Linked DNA regions of Caenorhabditis elegans. The protein of the gene in region 1 purifies or fractionates together with the protein of each later gene. This does not show direct contact. Each region holds a gene or a part of one and is shown in the gene's direction. Other genes may lie near its edges. The genes, in order: nuaf-6 and sel-13.

Region 1 (10,549 bases):
TATTTTCGATAATAAGAAATATAACTTTATCGGAAAACTGAGAAGAACTGTGCAAAATTGATGAAAATTTTAAAATTCGGGAGAAACGAAATTTTAATACTACAGTACTCTTTAAAGACGCACATCTCTTTGCATTTAGCAGAAATTTGTCGTGTCGAGACCGGATACAGTAACTTTGAAGCAATGCTAGCAAGACTTCGCAAAATTCCAGAAAATATTGTTTAAGTCAATAATTTACTCACGTGATGTGACATTGGCAAGAGAAGAAGCTATAAACCGTGTGGATGACATCTGTAAAACTTTTTCGTTCTGATTGAATGAAAAAGCGGAAGCAAAGAAGTCAATAAAACAAGGTTCTGATTTGAATGATCTCTGTGACTCGTTTCTTTTACTGTCTGCGTCTATGTATTCAACGAATTCAGTGCAATTCAACAGCAAAGATTACAATGATGACTATTATTTTTTTGAGAAAACCTTCTTCGTGAGACGTCATCAGATTCATAAAGGTCTCGGAAATAGCTTGATGAGTAAACATTTGATCTCAAGTTCAAAGAACTATTAATTTTGAAACCGGAGATGATTCATTGACAAGGAAAGCAACAAAAAAAACTACCAGTAAAGTGTAATTCAAGGAAGAGGTAATAGGCAAGATCTACAGGAAAAGAATGGAAAATTAGTAAAAGTGATTTCTAGATATGAACTAAAAATGTACAAAAAAGAGGGAAAAATATTGATTGTACAAACAAAAAAAGAGATAACAAATTGAACGGGTTGGGTTGACCTTCGAGTCATTAGAAGCTTGATTCTGATAAGGTTGTTGAGTCGATTTTTGCAGGAGATTCTGAAATTTAAAAGTAAAGCTTTTTAATAAGTTTATATTGTTTTACACAAAAATCAATAAAGGACGAAGCGGTGAACATTTTAGTTTTCTAGTTTTTTAGATGTTAATTTATGATTTTTAAATTTGAATTTTTCGCAGAATTTATGTTATGGGCAACTGGAATCCATCTGAATTTCCTGCTCAAAACATTACCGTTAACTTTCTCCTCATCCTCATCTTCACTCGATTCTCCGAGTAAGCTCAGATCGTCTTCTAGCGACGATTCCACCGGAGCTGAGTCTTCTTCCATCTTCATCGACTCCTCTCTCTCGTTGTCGCTCTTTTTCTCGTTCCCATTTTCGCTTCCACTCACGACGTCTTCTCGCTCCGATGTTGGATAACTTATCATTTCGGGTCTGAAATAATATTCGTTATTTCACACAATTTAACAGGAAAAACACCGCAATCATACTTTTTATTTCTTGCCTGTTCTAATCTTTTCATCTCTTTTGCTGTTATAAGCAGTTGGGGAGCTGGCTGCTGTGGAGGTTCTCCATCCAGCCAACCCGCGATTTTTCCAATACTGGAACTACAGAAGTTGAGCCCTGAAAAATATTAGTTTTTGTTATTTAACTATTAAATTAAAATTTCTTACAAATCGGTTCATAACTAAAGAATGGAGTTCGAATAGCTCCAAGCATTAGAACAAGGAAGATTGTCATCACGATTTGAGCTATCAATGGAGCACCGTCATATAGATTTCTGGAAAAATTAATTTACAGCTTTTTTTATGAATTCGTCAAAAAATACCTGAAGAATAAATTAAAGTGCTTCGCAGAACCAGAAAAAAACGCAAAGAATCCTCCGGAAATAGTCTCAGAAAACACTTCGATGATAGAAATCTCGTGGAAAATCGATATGGTTTGACTCTGAAATTTACAACATTTAAAATAATTTAACCCAACAAAGAAGAAATAAAACAAAAACTAACCTCAATGTACTTTAAACATTTTGATTTTTGCCGATATTGGAAAGGCGATGCGAGGATTTCAACCATTCTTGAGAGTAATCCTTCTGTAGCACAAGAATCATGAGCATGCTCTTGGAATTGTGCAAATCTTCGTGATTCTGCTTCTTGATATTTTTTGCTATAACCAGAATACATGGAAACAAGAAGAGCAGTTGAGAGAACGAGAATCCAAAAGTTTCGTGGCCGAACGATTGATCGAAGAACAACAAAAGCAGCCGCGGGCAAAATGAAGATGTTCAGTGTGAAAATGAAAGGTTGGAGAGTCACAAATGTATCCTGCCAAGTACGATCTGGAGCTGGAGGCTTCACGCTGAAAATGTTTGACAACGCGGATCGGACGGCTTCTCTCTCTTCAGCCAAATCTGCTTCATCATTTTTTAAATACTTCGAAAGAACCGACATGCTGTGCCGAGATATTTTAATTCTGCAATTCAAAGCTTAAAATATATCGGAACTAGAAGAAAATATACTCACTGTACATCTTTTTTAATTGAACCTTCCAAATGATAGTCAATTTTGGTTTCGTGGAGAAGTTGTCGAAGAATCAGACGAAGACTTTGATCAGGCTGAAACTATTGAATGGGTTATTTACGGATTTCTTTAAAGCTTTTAGTTTACCTTCTGAACTTGATTTCGAACAGATAGAAGTCGTTTTGACGCTGGCGGGCTTTCTCCAGAAGTTGGATCATTCGGATCTTTCCACACATTTTCATGTGTAAATTCTTCGTCAATGTCTTGAGTTGCGAAAAGTTGCGGGACGAGGAGTAGAAGTGTGACCCATATTATTTTCATCTGAAACAAGCGGAAAGTTGAAAGAGAAAAGATGTTTACAGCACGCTCAGCAACTGACAGGCGAGTTCATAAGATAACATAGTTGTTTGATCAATAAAATGTTGTGTTTTTCCGAGTTTTCAGATAATTCGCATTTAAACTTCACTTTTTATATTCAGAAAATTGTAAAATCGAAACATTTCAAGAATTGCGAAACAAGTTTTCAGAAGGCAAATTAATAAGTATAATACGGTTGACAATTGGTGTATGCAGAATTGTCGTGAATTTCGATGCCTGCGTACGCGAGAAATTTGCATTCATTATTTTCTTTTCCACAGTTTTCCACACTTTTCTCATCGATTTTTGCAATAATTTCATCAAATTTTCTTGTTTTTCAGTAAACTTCAAGATGAAGCTTTGGGATTCTCCGAATACCTCGTTCCCTTATTCATTTGATGAGGTTGCCAGTGCGTTTTGGGACAGGTGAGGCAGGAAATCTCGGAAAATGGTAATTTCAATTTCTAAACCCTCAGATACCCAAATTCTCATGCAAAACACATCATTTCGGAGGATGTACTCGAACGCCAGATCACTGACAACACTATTGTCACTAAAAAATTGATTGTCAAGCAAGGTATTTAGCTGATATTACAAGAGCCAGTAAATTATTCGCATAATTTTTCAGGAAGCTCGATTTTGAAACGTGTTCCTCGTTGGATTTCGAGAATGACAGATATTCAAGTTGTTCCTGTCATTGAAGAAAGTGTTTATGATAAAGTATCGAAAAAACTCGTAACATACACTCGAAATGTTTCACACATTTCTCTATTTCAACTCCATGAACGATGCATTTACAAATCATCCGAGGTTTATCATTGTTATTTCAAATCTCTATTTACTGTTATTTTTCAGGATAATCAGCAGCATCACCCAGCCCTTCTCACTGACGTACTGCGAAGTGTCACAGTTTCAATCGATTGTGGTCGAATGAGCTCAGTTTACGAGAAAGTCCTACTAATGGGCTTCAAAAAATCGATCAATAACACAACGAAAGGGTTGTTTGAGAAGCTAGAAGAGCGATTTGGAGTCAAAAACGTTGCTAATGAGAAAATGAAAATGATCAAGGAAAAGATTATCAAGTCATCGTCAAATCTCGTCACTCATGTCCAATGCGAAGAGGATGTCTAGTCAGCCATACTGAATATAAATCTCAAACATTCACTTTTTCCCGTTATTTTCATTTATGTCCCCCCAAAAAAATCTCAATTCTCATAGAATTACTGAATCTTCTGCACATTCTTTGCATTGAACTGAGACCATTATTTGTTTGTTATTTGGCTCTCAATCTCTCCTGATAAATGTACATATTCAATTTATTTTTTGAATTTTTTTTGGCTATTTTCTGGTTATTTACCAGCTATTGTTATCTTTCTTGACCTTTTTTGTCTGAATTACATTATAATCTATCATAATCTCCAATATTTAGGCTCTTCTCAATAAGGCTTTTCAAAACTCCTTCAAAAAGCTTCTTGGTCTTCGATCAACGATATGGCGAGTACTATTTACCGGTGAGTGACCTCCCAAAAGTTTCTGGAACACGGCAGTTGTTCCACTTGAATCAGCAAAAAATAACCATCAATCACAAGAAAAAGAGACATAGATATCAAAAGAAAATCCCCTGTTGCAGCCTGATCACAATCGTCTCGCTTCTCTCATTGCTCCATTGTGCCTATTCCGCCGCCCAACACCGTTTCTACCTGCGTCTCACTGAGCAACCGTTCATCAATCTCCCATCCGACGTCGTCGCTCAGACAGTTATCTCCTTGATTGCACTGATCTACGGAACTTCCTTCCTGGCCAATCCATTCCTTTTCATAAAGAAGGATCAAGTGAGTTGGAGGAGAGATTCATGAAAATTGTTTAAACCAAAAACGAGGAAAACCCGATTTTCGTAATGAGAATATCTGAAAATTTTCAAAAAAAATTATGGCTGTGCAAAGTATTTGAAAAATAACTATTTTCAGCTAAAATCTCAAATTTTGCCAGTTTAGAAGTGTTAAAAAATTCCGTCAGTGGCGGCACTGACAATTTGGCAAAATTTGAGATTTTAGCTATAATATGCGCCTTTTTCCAATACTTTGAACCGCCATGATTTTTTTTGAGAAATTTTCAAAGGTCCTCATCACGAAAATTGGCAGTTTTTTGGTTAGTTTGGGTCTAAAAAAGCAATTTTTTCTCTTTTTCCAATTTCGCTACTACGCCTTTAAAAAACTTAAAACAAAAATTAGTTCGGAGCTTTAAAATCAATTTTCCTGTTTTTTGGCATTTTCAATTTACTTCAATTTCCCAATTTCCAGCACCACGACCGATCATGCGACGAAGCACTCAATTGTCCATCATTCATCACATTCGACAACCGTGCCAAAGCAATGTCCCCAGAATTTGCGATGCTCCGAACCTTGAAACAACAGCAACGTCAACGACAAAACTCTTCTCGTGGAACTCACAGTGGACGTGTCTCCGAAGTTATTCAAACGGAAGAAGACTCGGCCGACGATTCTCAGGAATAACTTCAATCTCTGCTCGTCACTTCTCTACAAAATCCTCTCCATTCCTCGACACCTCATCTAATAATAACATTTCCAATGATAAGAAGAAAACACCTAGTCGTTCGCCAGACTTTAGCAATATTCCGGGTGCACGGTAATAATTTGTTTTGTCTTTTATGTCTTTCAACTATTTAAAAATATAAATCTTTTCCATTTTATAGTATCCCAAAATCGATGCCAAAAAGGACCCGATTCCTAGAAATCAGTAAGCAGCAGGCCGACGAGGCATTCAGAAGTTGTCTTGAAATGGTTCGAAAACACGATATCGACAGTTATCTAGCCATTTTGACTATCAATAAACGAGCACAGCCAGAAATTGTCGCGGTTTGTAGAAATTCGACCCAAAAATAGTTTTAAAATCGGGCAAATTCAGCTTAACGCACTGAACGTCGAGTTGGCTTCAATTCGTGACAAAGTGGACACAAGAAAAGGAGACGCTTCAGCAATGTATCGCCTTCAATTCTGGAAGGATGCTATTTCATCAATCTACGGAATATCTCCACTTCCTGTACCACGTCAACCTGTTGCTATTGCTCTGTGCTCTTTCGCCGCTGGTGCCAACTCTGACATGCTTCTGAAACTGGTTGAAACTCGCCAGTCAACAATTGGTGATAGGCAGTTTTCTGATATTAATGCTGTGAGTTTTAATATTGAAAAATTTCGAAAAAATATGTCCGAAAAATTTAACATATTCCCAATCGCAAATATTTTGTGATTTTCTTAAATTCAAAAGATCGTGCGCCTTTAAGGATTACTGTAGCTCCCATTTCCTCATCGTTGAGTGATTTTTAGAAGCTACAGTACTCTTTAAAGGCACACACTCTTCCGAGTTTAAGAAAATCGTTCGCTTCGAGACCGGTTACGGTGTTTTTGGAGCAAAAACCAGAAACTTTTGCATCTGAGTAATATGTTTCTTTTGCTCTATGAATCAAAGAAAAAAATCATTATTTTTCAATGCGGAATTTAGATGAGAAAAACCAATTTTGGTTTTTTTTAATCTAAAATGTAGATAAAATAGACAAATTTCTTGAAAAAAAAAAATTAAAATTACTAAATATTTTTCCAGTTATGCGAATATGGCAAATCAACAATCGGGTCTCTTCTGTGCCTACAAATCGATGCTCTTGCTCGTAACTCTCCAGAAACTAAAGTACTCCCAATGGCCTACGATGTTGCAAAAGATCTCGGAGCCGCGTATGCTATCGCCAATATGATTCGTGCCACACATCCACTACTGGCTCGTGGAATCGTTCTTCTACCAGCTGATGTGATGTCTTTAAATGGTGCCACACCGGATAGTCTTTATAAAAAGAAGAAGCTCGATGAGATGGTTGGAATGACAAAAGATCTGGTCAACGAGTCAAAACGATTACTTATTGATGCTCGAAGTCCGATAGAAATGGTACCGAAAGCTGTGAGACCTGCGCTTGCAGCCACTGGAGCCACAACTGACTATATCATTAAAACAATCGAAAAGAATAATTATGACATCTACTCTCCTCATCTTCAACGTCGAAATCCACTTCTTCTCTGGTCACTTTTGGTTCGAAAACTGTGCTCAAAATATTAAAATGTTATATTTTTCGTGTTTTTTCTTCATCTTCATCTTCTTTTTTTTTCTTTCCTCTTTCCCTTTCCCCTTCTCCCCATTTCGTGTTCTCTCTCTCTCATTCGAATAGTTATATTTATATTTATGGCATCAAGTAAAGAGCTTACAATCAGTGTGGAGTACTACGAAGACTAGTAAACGGATAACTGAATCATAACAAGGAGCCCATCGTAAAGAAGAGCGGGAAGAAGAAGAATGTGGCGAATTAGAATGTGCAATACGAGAATACTCGAAGATGAACCCTCTTTTGAATTGTTGTTGTTGTTGTTATTCTGGAAGCTATTTTTTCTCTTGAGAGAAGAGAACATCCTCAAAAAAAAGATATAACAACAACAATTTGAAGGGGGAAGCCATTTTTACAAATTTAGCGTTAAGCTGGAACACTTCTCTCGAATATTATTTTAAAACTACATTTAGACTACATTTACTGCTCTTGCGAATTTAATTTAATATTCCGATTAACCTGATGCGAAATTTTTGAACAAAAACACGGAACCGAAGAGGTGTGTGCCTTTAAAGAGTACTGTAGTTACAAACTTGTGCTGTTGCGGAATTTTTATCGACTTTTCATAACGATTTGTCAAAATGTATCTGTTTTAAGTGATTTATGTTAGTTTTTAAAAAAATAAATTAAAATTTTTTAATTAAATAAAATTTAAACAAAAAACTATGTAAAATCAGTTAAAATTCCACAACAGCAAATGATTGAAACTACAGTATTCTTTAAAGGCGCACGCTTTTTCGCTTTTTTCAAATAAAAATTTATCGTGTCGAGCCAGATGCCGTATTTTGCATTTAACAGTAAGTACACAATCAAGAGCGCCCTTACGGAAAACTTCACTTAATATTGATATATAATTACATAAACATTATAGTAAACGTGCTTACCTTTGCGATACGGCTGTTATCAGTTGGAAATTGAGTATGACCGGCGAAAATAGCAATCATTATGAGAAATTCACAATTCAATCAGCTTTTATACGCAGAATTTCCATTTTAGAATGAGAAATTTCTATCAAGTGTAAATCAAAGAAAATTTAAAGTTAGCAATCCAGTTTTGACACCGTTTATTCGGGTGTTCATCAATTTAAACATGTTTTGAATTTTAGACATGTTAAAAGGAATCTATCAGGTCTAATAATTTTAGCTGAATATTTCCGAAGAGAATTAGAGCAGCCTGGAAAAAATCTAAATTTTTTAACAAAAAATATTACTCGGATGCGAAATGCTGCAATTTATGATGGAAAAATACGGTACCAGGTCTCGACACGGCCGCATAAGTTTATATGAAAATTTTTATGCGCCTTCGAAGAGTACAGTAGTTTTGCGCAGCTTTTCGAATTATTTTCACCCCCTCTGCTCATTTTGCAAATTCTGAATGCATTCTGTACATACTTTACAAAAGTTTCCGTTCAACTTCTGAAAATTTGTTTGCTCTTTCCGGAGGCCTCCGCCAATCTGTCAACTCCAATTTGCTGAAAATGAACTCAATTCGTTGTTTACAAGAAAAATGCTGGAAGAAGAGAACATGCAGTATTAAAGATGTTTATGTTTTTGAACTCGCATCCTGATTTTTTTTGTGTTTTTGTGTCTAAAGTTCTGGGATCAGAATTTTAGATTGTTAGTGTTAGTTTTGTTGTTCTTTTTTTGCAAAGAATTGCATTTTTCCGGGCGTTACTCGCTTCTTCTTCTTGTGATTCTGTATGTTTAGGCAAAAAGTTCGGTAAAGTTTTTTTGAAATTGAAGGCTCTGAAGAGAGATTTTGGTGACAGTGTTCTCGGTTTAAAGCTTCTATGCAAAGTGCATAGTCTTCCTAGAAAACTGTCCAGACCACCGATTCATTTTTGTAAAACCCTGCCCATCATACATATTGTTTTCACCTGTTCTCCAATATTTTTCAACTCTCCTCTCACTTTCAAACTGTCACGAAATGCTGAAAGAGAAGCTCTCAATACCTCTGTCTGTCTCACTTGATCGCGAGACCCCCTCTCTGTATTTGTACAGTAACCACTGCGTCTCATCGATCCACGTACTCCATATTATTGTCTCCTGCATCAAACACACCTAGTTGCGCATGTTTTTGCAGGAGCCGCTCCCCTCCTCATTCAATGCAATCCATCAATTTCCCGTCCTTGCCAAATACGACATTTATTATAAGCAACTTTTTTTATTGGCCTTTTAAATTTCAAAAGTTTTTTCAACCCTAATTTTTTGATCTTTGCTAGATCTGTTGTTTGATGAATTTTGAGGAAAGGTTGATATCAAGAATTGAGCTCAGGCTCGAAAATCGCCTATTTGTGTGCCTAAGCCAAATCCAAAGCCTAAGCGTAAGCCTGAGCCTAAGCCGGATACTAAGCCTAAGCCTGAAAACGATTCATTTCTCAGAAGGATTCTCGAAAATTGGTTATCATGTTTCATTTTGTATATCCAATGCAGCTTCTAATACAATCATCACTAATGTATCGGAACGGATCGGGAAAACCGATAGTAATCGGCAAATGCCATTAGTCTATCCAAATTGAGACAAAATGATGAAGCATCAAGGACGCGCACTCCTCCTTATCTCTTATCAACCGATTTGCCACGTCAGATTCTGTCTAACTTTCACCTTTTTTCTCGAATCTCCTTCTTGCCGAAAGGATCTATCCGTTCCGTGACTCCAGTCTTTCATGCACTTTCTTCTTTATAAGAAAGTGATAGTTGCGGACTTATCACTGCTTATCACTATTGAAGCCACCCAAAGAACTAGATATCGGAAACATGTTAGCCGGTACGATGATTCGAGACTTGAAAAACAAGGGCTTGGTGAGGCGAAGACAGTGATGGATTACGCAAGGCGAAAACATAAAACTTGAAACATTTGGCGATGATCAGAATATTATCAGATAAAGTTCAACATTTCGATTTTTAATTTTTTTGTCATTCTTCGAGTTCCGGAAGTGAGATAGCCTTTTTGTTTTAGAATTTGTTTTATTTTTACCGTTTTTCCCTTAACCTGCTACTGAACCCATTTAAGTTTACTGTAGAAAATTGGAAACGAAACTTCGAGTAAATTTTTTTGGTATTCCTGGGACTCACTTACATTTATATAATTTGTACTTTGAAAATTTTTTAAAAATACTGGAAAAAATTCTACGATAAGCACATAATTGATGTAGGCACAGAATTCAGCATGTCTGGTATCTATGGTATCTAAGCGGCCTGCGGCTGCCTTGCCTAAGAGCTTGCTTACTTCCAGAAGCACACAGGAAACATTTATCATTTCCCAGTGGAGTTTCTGACAAACTAATTTGAAAGAGAAGTGTGTATATCTACAAGATGCAAGCGTCAAGTACCTAGGCAGGTAGGTAGGTAGGTAGGTAGAAAACGTGCCTACCTATCATGAAAGCTTCAATATTGCGCATTATGCCAATTAAAATAACAAAAATTAGCCGAGATATAATTGTTTAATAGGAAACTTCCAGAAATTCAATTGAATACATTGAATGTCTTTGTTCTTGACCCCGTCAATGGGAAAAAAATCAAATGTTCAAAAACTAGAAAAGTACCTTGTGTATTTTCATATTTACATTCTAAAATAACGTAAACAACGATTACTTATGTTTCCTTTTTTCGGCGCAACAATTCTCGGCAAAAGGAAACTATTTGGCGTTAAAGGGAATTCGATAGTTTCAATTGTTACAAGGATTGCTCAAAAATCATTCAATGAG
Region 2 (4,180 bases), on another chromosome or scaffold:
TTTTTATAACATTTGACTTAATACTATAAAGATTTTTGTATGGCTCCTAGTGGCCCAATATCTTTTTTTGTTGTAAAAATTGTTCGGAAAATGCATTTAAAAAATATTTAATTTTCTGACATAATTCTGAATCGTTATTGAACATTTTTTCTTCTCCAAATCAAAAACGAAAAACGTTTTTTTGCTAAAAAGCTAAAAAAAAAAGCGAACTAATTTTAAATATGATTTCGAGTGTGATTTTTCGGAATAACTGTAAAATTTAAACATTTTTAAATTTTTAGATTTTTATCCGTTTTTTCGCTTACTTTTTTATCAAAAAAAATGCAAAAAACTTTTTTTTTGCCAAAAATACGAAAAAAATCTATTAAAATGCGTATTGCTCGCTATAAATGACATTATTAAATTCGAAAAAATCTACAAATTGCATATTAAAAATTTCAGACAAAACGCTTACTCAAAGTGAAGAACCCGTGGACACATTCAAGATGGAAGGGAAATTTCTCAGATAAGGATAAAGTCAATTGGACTGCCAAAATGAAAAATGCTTTGGCTTTCGATCCGGAAGTAGCAGCGGAGAAAGATGATGGAATCTTTTGGATTGATTATGAATCTGTTCGTCACTTCTTTGATGTGATCTATGTCAACTGGAATGCTGATCTCTTTCCATTCAAATCTGTATATCATGCCACGTGGACACAAGACACTGGACCGATTCGAGATGTTTACACAGTTGGAGAGAATCCTCAATACACGCTAACAGTGAATTTGAATCAGAAAGCTGCAGCTGTGTGGATTCTATTAACAAGGCATATCACTGCGATCGACGATTTTGCTGTGAACAAAGAGTTTATCACTCTTATTGTGTATGAAACTGGGCAAAAGATCTATATACCAAGTTAGATTTTTTTTTGTTTGAATTATATATAATGAGTAAAATATTAATTTCCATTTTCCAGGCAACCCGCAACCAATATCCGACGGTGTTCGTATCAATAGTCCATTGTATTTATGTCAACTCTCGAATAAAAAACCAGGAATTACCAAATACACGTTGGTTGTTGCTCAGTATGAGAAAACCAATACAATCAACTATTCTCTTCGTGTATTTTCAACAACTGATGTTAAATTAGAACCTGTACAGCTTCCCTATTCAATTTCCAAAACTACTCGTGGAAACTGGGATGGCTCTGATAAGTGAGTTTTTTTGGATGAGAAATTAGAATGAAGAGCGTAATCAACAAATATTTAAAAATTAACAAAAATATTTAAGTGATGAGAAAAACGAGAAAAAAAATCACATTCTAAAAATAAATTAAAGATTTTTTTGACAAATCAATTTTTTGATAAAAAAAATCAATTTTCCAGATACCCTATCATGAAACTCACACTTCACTCAAAGTCAGATGAAATCGCTTTATTTATGGAATTAAAAGCTCCAAAACAGTTTTGTGTCGCTTTGGAAATGAAACAAAACTCATCAGATCGAACTGTTTTCTTGGAAACGAAAAGTTCGGGAGCATATCGACCTGGATACACTGTTCTCACACTGGAAAAAGTTCCAGCAGGAAAGTATTACGTGAAAATTTCAACTTATACGGTAAGTTGAAACTTGAAAAAACTTTAAAATATTATCTGTAGCGCCTTGGATCCTTGGATTCATGCAAAAAATAAATCTTTAATTTTCAGGCAGGCGACAAAGGCCCCTTCATCCTCCGAATCGATTCTACTTGCAAATTTGACCTCGAGCCCATTAAACTGTGAATATATATATCAATCTAATCTCGCACGGTGTCTTTTCAATTACAACATTTTTATCTTCATCTTTTTTTAAAATTAGAACTCGGGTTGTATTTTTAATTGCCATTGTATAAATTTTTGTAATTTTAATCGCTATAATTTTTTTCAATATCATGACTTATGTTTTATTCATAATTTGAATACTTTAATCATTACTCTTTCAAAACTAAAAACAAAATTGTATATAGATGAGCCTTAATCCAATGATCGCGAAGCAGAAACCAAATGGAAATATTCAGTGCTTGGTGTGCAATGCAGAGATTAAGCCGAAAATCTGGACGGCACATGTTAATGGAAAGAAGCACAGAGATAGTATTGAAAAGTTGAAGACAAGTGCTCAGAAGCGTGGAAAGGAGAGTTCAACCAGAAATACAGATGAACCACCGAATAAGAAACAAAAGGAAGTACCAAATCAGGGACCAACGACTCTACCCACAGACTTTTTCGATGATGAAAGGTAGTTATTTAATTATTTAAACTAAAATAGATCTTTTTAATTTTCAGCACTCCGTTCCGTAAAGATGATTCAAAAACTGCCACTGTAGGCCACAACTCTAACCTGATTGAAGGTGTTCCTGCCGGATTTTTCGATGATAAGCGGTTGGATGGAAATGTTCGTGAAACTCGTGAAAGAAATGCCGAACTCGATGCCGAATACGAGCGATGGAAAGAGGAGATTGGCGAAGAGCAAGTCGAATTGGATACAAAAGCCGAAGAACTCGAAGCTGCTGTGCAACGAGAGCTGGAACTGGAGCGAATCGACGAACAAATGGCTGCATTGAAGAAGTTGAATGATATGGAGATTCAGAAGGAGAAACGATTGAATCAGGCGAGAGAGCGACGTCTGAAACGAGAAGAACCGGAAGAAGAGGAAGATGATGACGGAGAGGATATTGATCTCGATGCGCTCGATTGGCGAGCAAAGAATATTTTCGCATAAAATATAATTTTCTCAAGATGTTTCTCAACATTTTATTTTATCTAAATATAAACTAAATCTTTTTTCAAAGAAAACCAGAAGAAAAAGTGAAATATTAATTTAAAATTTATTTCTAAAAATTAAATGAAAACCTATCGAAAATCAATTGGATCTAATGCCGAGCTACCGGGACAATGCTAACGACTCAAGAGTACAGTCAAAAATCCAGCTATCACAGCAGTCACAAACATTCCAGCCATGTACTGTCGTGCTTCACTGGCTTCTTTTGCTCGTTTATCTCTCATTATCTGCTCAAATGTGGGGATTGGATATCGAGCTTGATGAGCCGCTTGTTCTCGTTCAACTTGCCGTCGGAGCTCTTCCATTTCTCTTTGCGCTGCTCGACCATCTTTATACATTGATCCGTGCTGAAATTTTCAAAGTTTGCTCTAAAACCCCACCGGGAGATTCTCAAACCTTCTCTTGTGCTTCTTCATATTCACTTTTGAATACTCGTTTCTTAAATCCTCCAAACTCTGCGTAAAACTCATTTGGCATATCAAAATGTGAATGATATTGAGGTCTTCGTCGTGTGCTCCGTTGAAAATGTTCAAAATCTTTGTAGTCAATATCAATATCTGTATATTGTTTTAAATTTGAAGATGTCCGCCGCCGATATCGATTGCTAAATGATGATGGGTCATTAGGCATCGGAGAAGTTCTGATTCGTGTCATATCATATGCTTTTCGTTTATCTTCTGAGCTCAGGATTTCGTAAGCCATGGCAACCTGAAAAATATTCATTAAAAACTCACAGGAAGCAACTTTTATGTTACCAAAATGCAATGTTTTCCGGTTTTTGCAACAAAATTACGGTATTCCTGGTCTCGTCAGGACAATTTTGTTTAAAGTACAATTATGTGTGCGCCTTTAAAGGGGTGTGTGGAATTTTTGTAATTTTTCAACGTTTTTTCACAATTAGTTTTTTATGTGTTTTAATGGTTGCATTTTAGTTGTTTTAAACTAATAAACACATTTTCAAAATTCACAGCAATGAAAGTTTTAAATTACAGTACTCTTTAAAGGCGCACACCCTTATTTATCAAAAAACGTGTTAAACCGTTTTTAGCGCAAAAATCACAAAACGGGATCAATAAGTACCTGATGAAATTTTTTAGCAGCCTCCTCCTTATTTGTAGGATTTGTATCTGGATGATGTTGTTTCGAAAGTTTATAATATGCAGATTTAATATCTTTTTGCGAGGCTGATTGTGCCAATCCAAGAACTTTGTAATGATCCTGTTGACTACTACATGGAACTGATAAGAATAAACTTCGTTTTTGATTGGCCACAGCCAATCGGAGCATTTCAAAGCTGAAAGTATAAGTTCAACTAAATACAGGAAATTATAATGGAAAATGAATTCAAAATGGTAGTTAAACCGAATAAAATACTTTTAATGT

Evidence for each region.
Region 2: the proteins of nuaf-6 (region 1) and sel-13 fractionate together in Caenorhabditis elegans (co-fractionation; one large-scale study listed by BioGRID). This does not show direct contact.

What each region holds. Positions count from the first base shown.
Region 1 is NC_003280.10:11,492,673-11,503,221, forward strand, and holds nuaf-6 (Phytoene synthase), read left to right. Parts: upstream 1-4,992; coding exon 4,993-5,324; intron 5,325-5,391; coding exon 5,392-5,554; intron 5,555-5,603; coding exon 5,604-5,867; intron 5,868-6,296; coding exon 6,297-6,800; 3' UTR 6,801-6,953; downstream 6,954-10,549. Other genes in the region: hacl-1 (2-hydroxyacyl-CoA lyase), read right to left, coding at 243-291; ooc-3 (Chloride channel CLIC-like protein 1), read right to left, coding at 792-841, 1,034-1,236, 1,293-1,425, 1,476-1,582, 1,631-1,749, 1,812-2,274, 2,325-2,422, 2,469-2,642; prel-1 (PRELI/MSF1 domain-containing protein), read left to right, coding at 3,031-3,104, 3,155-3,255, 3,307-3,488, 3,534-3,809; emc-5 (Membrane magnesium transporter), read left to right, coding at 4,170-4,189, 4,309-4,510, 4,979-5,191; B0334.20 (uncharacterized protein), read right to left, coding at 6,971-7,111, 7,728-7,787.
Region 2 is NC_003281.10:4,698,030-4,702,209, reverse strand, and holds sel-13 (Zinc finger protein 830), read left to right. Parts: upstream 1-1,985; coding exon 1,986-2,254; intron 2,255-2,301; coding exon 2,302-2,737; 3' UTR 2,738-2,803; downstream 2,804-4,180. Other genes in the region: clp-2 (Calpain catalytic domain-containing protein), read left to right, coding at 442-895, 957-1,194, 1,366-1,597, 1,687-1,761; dnj-18 (J domain-containing protein), read right to left, coding at 2,914-3,144, 3,194-3,505, 3,878-4,084.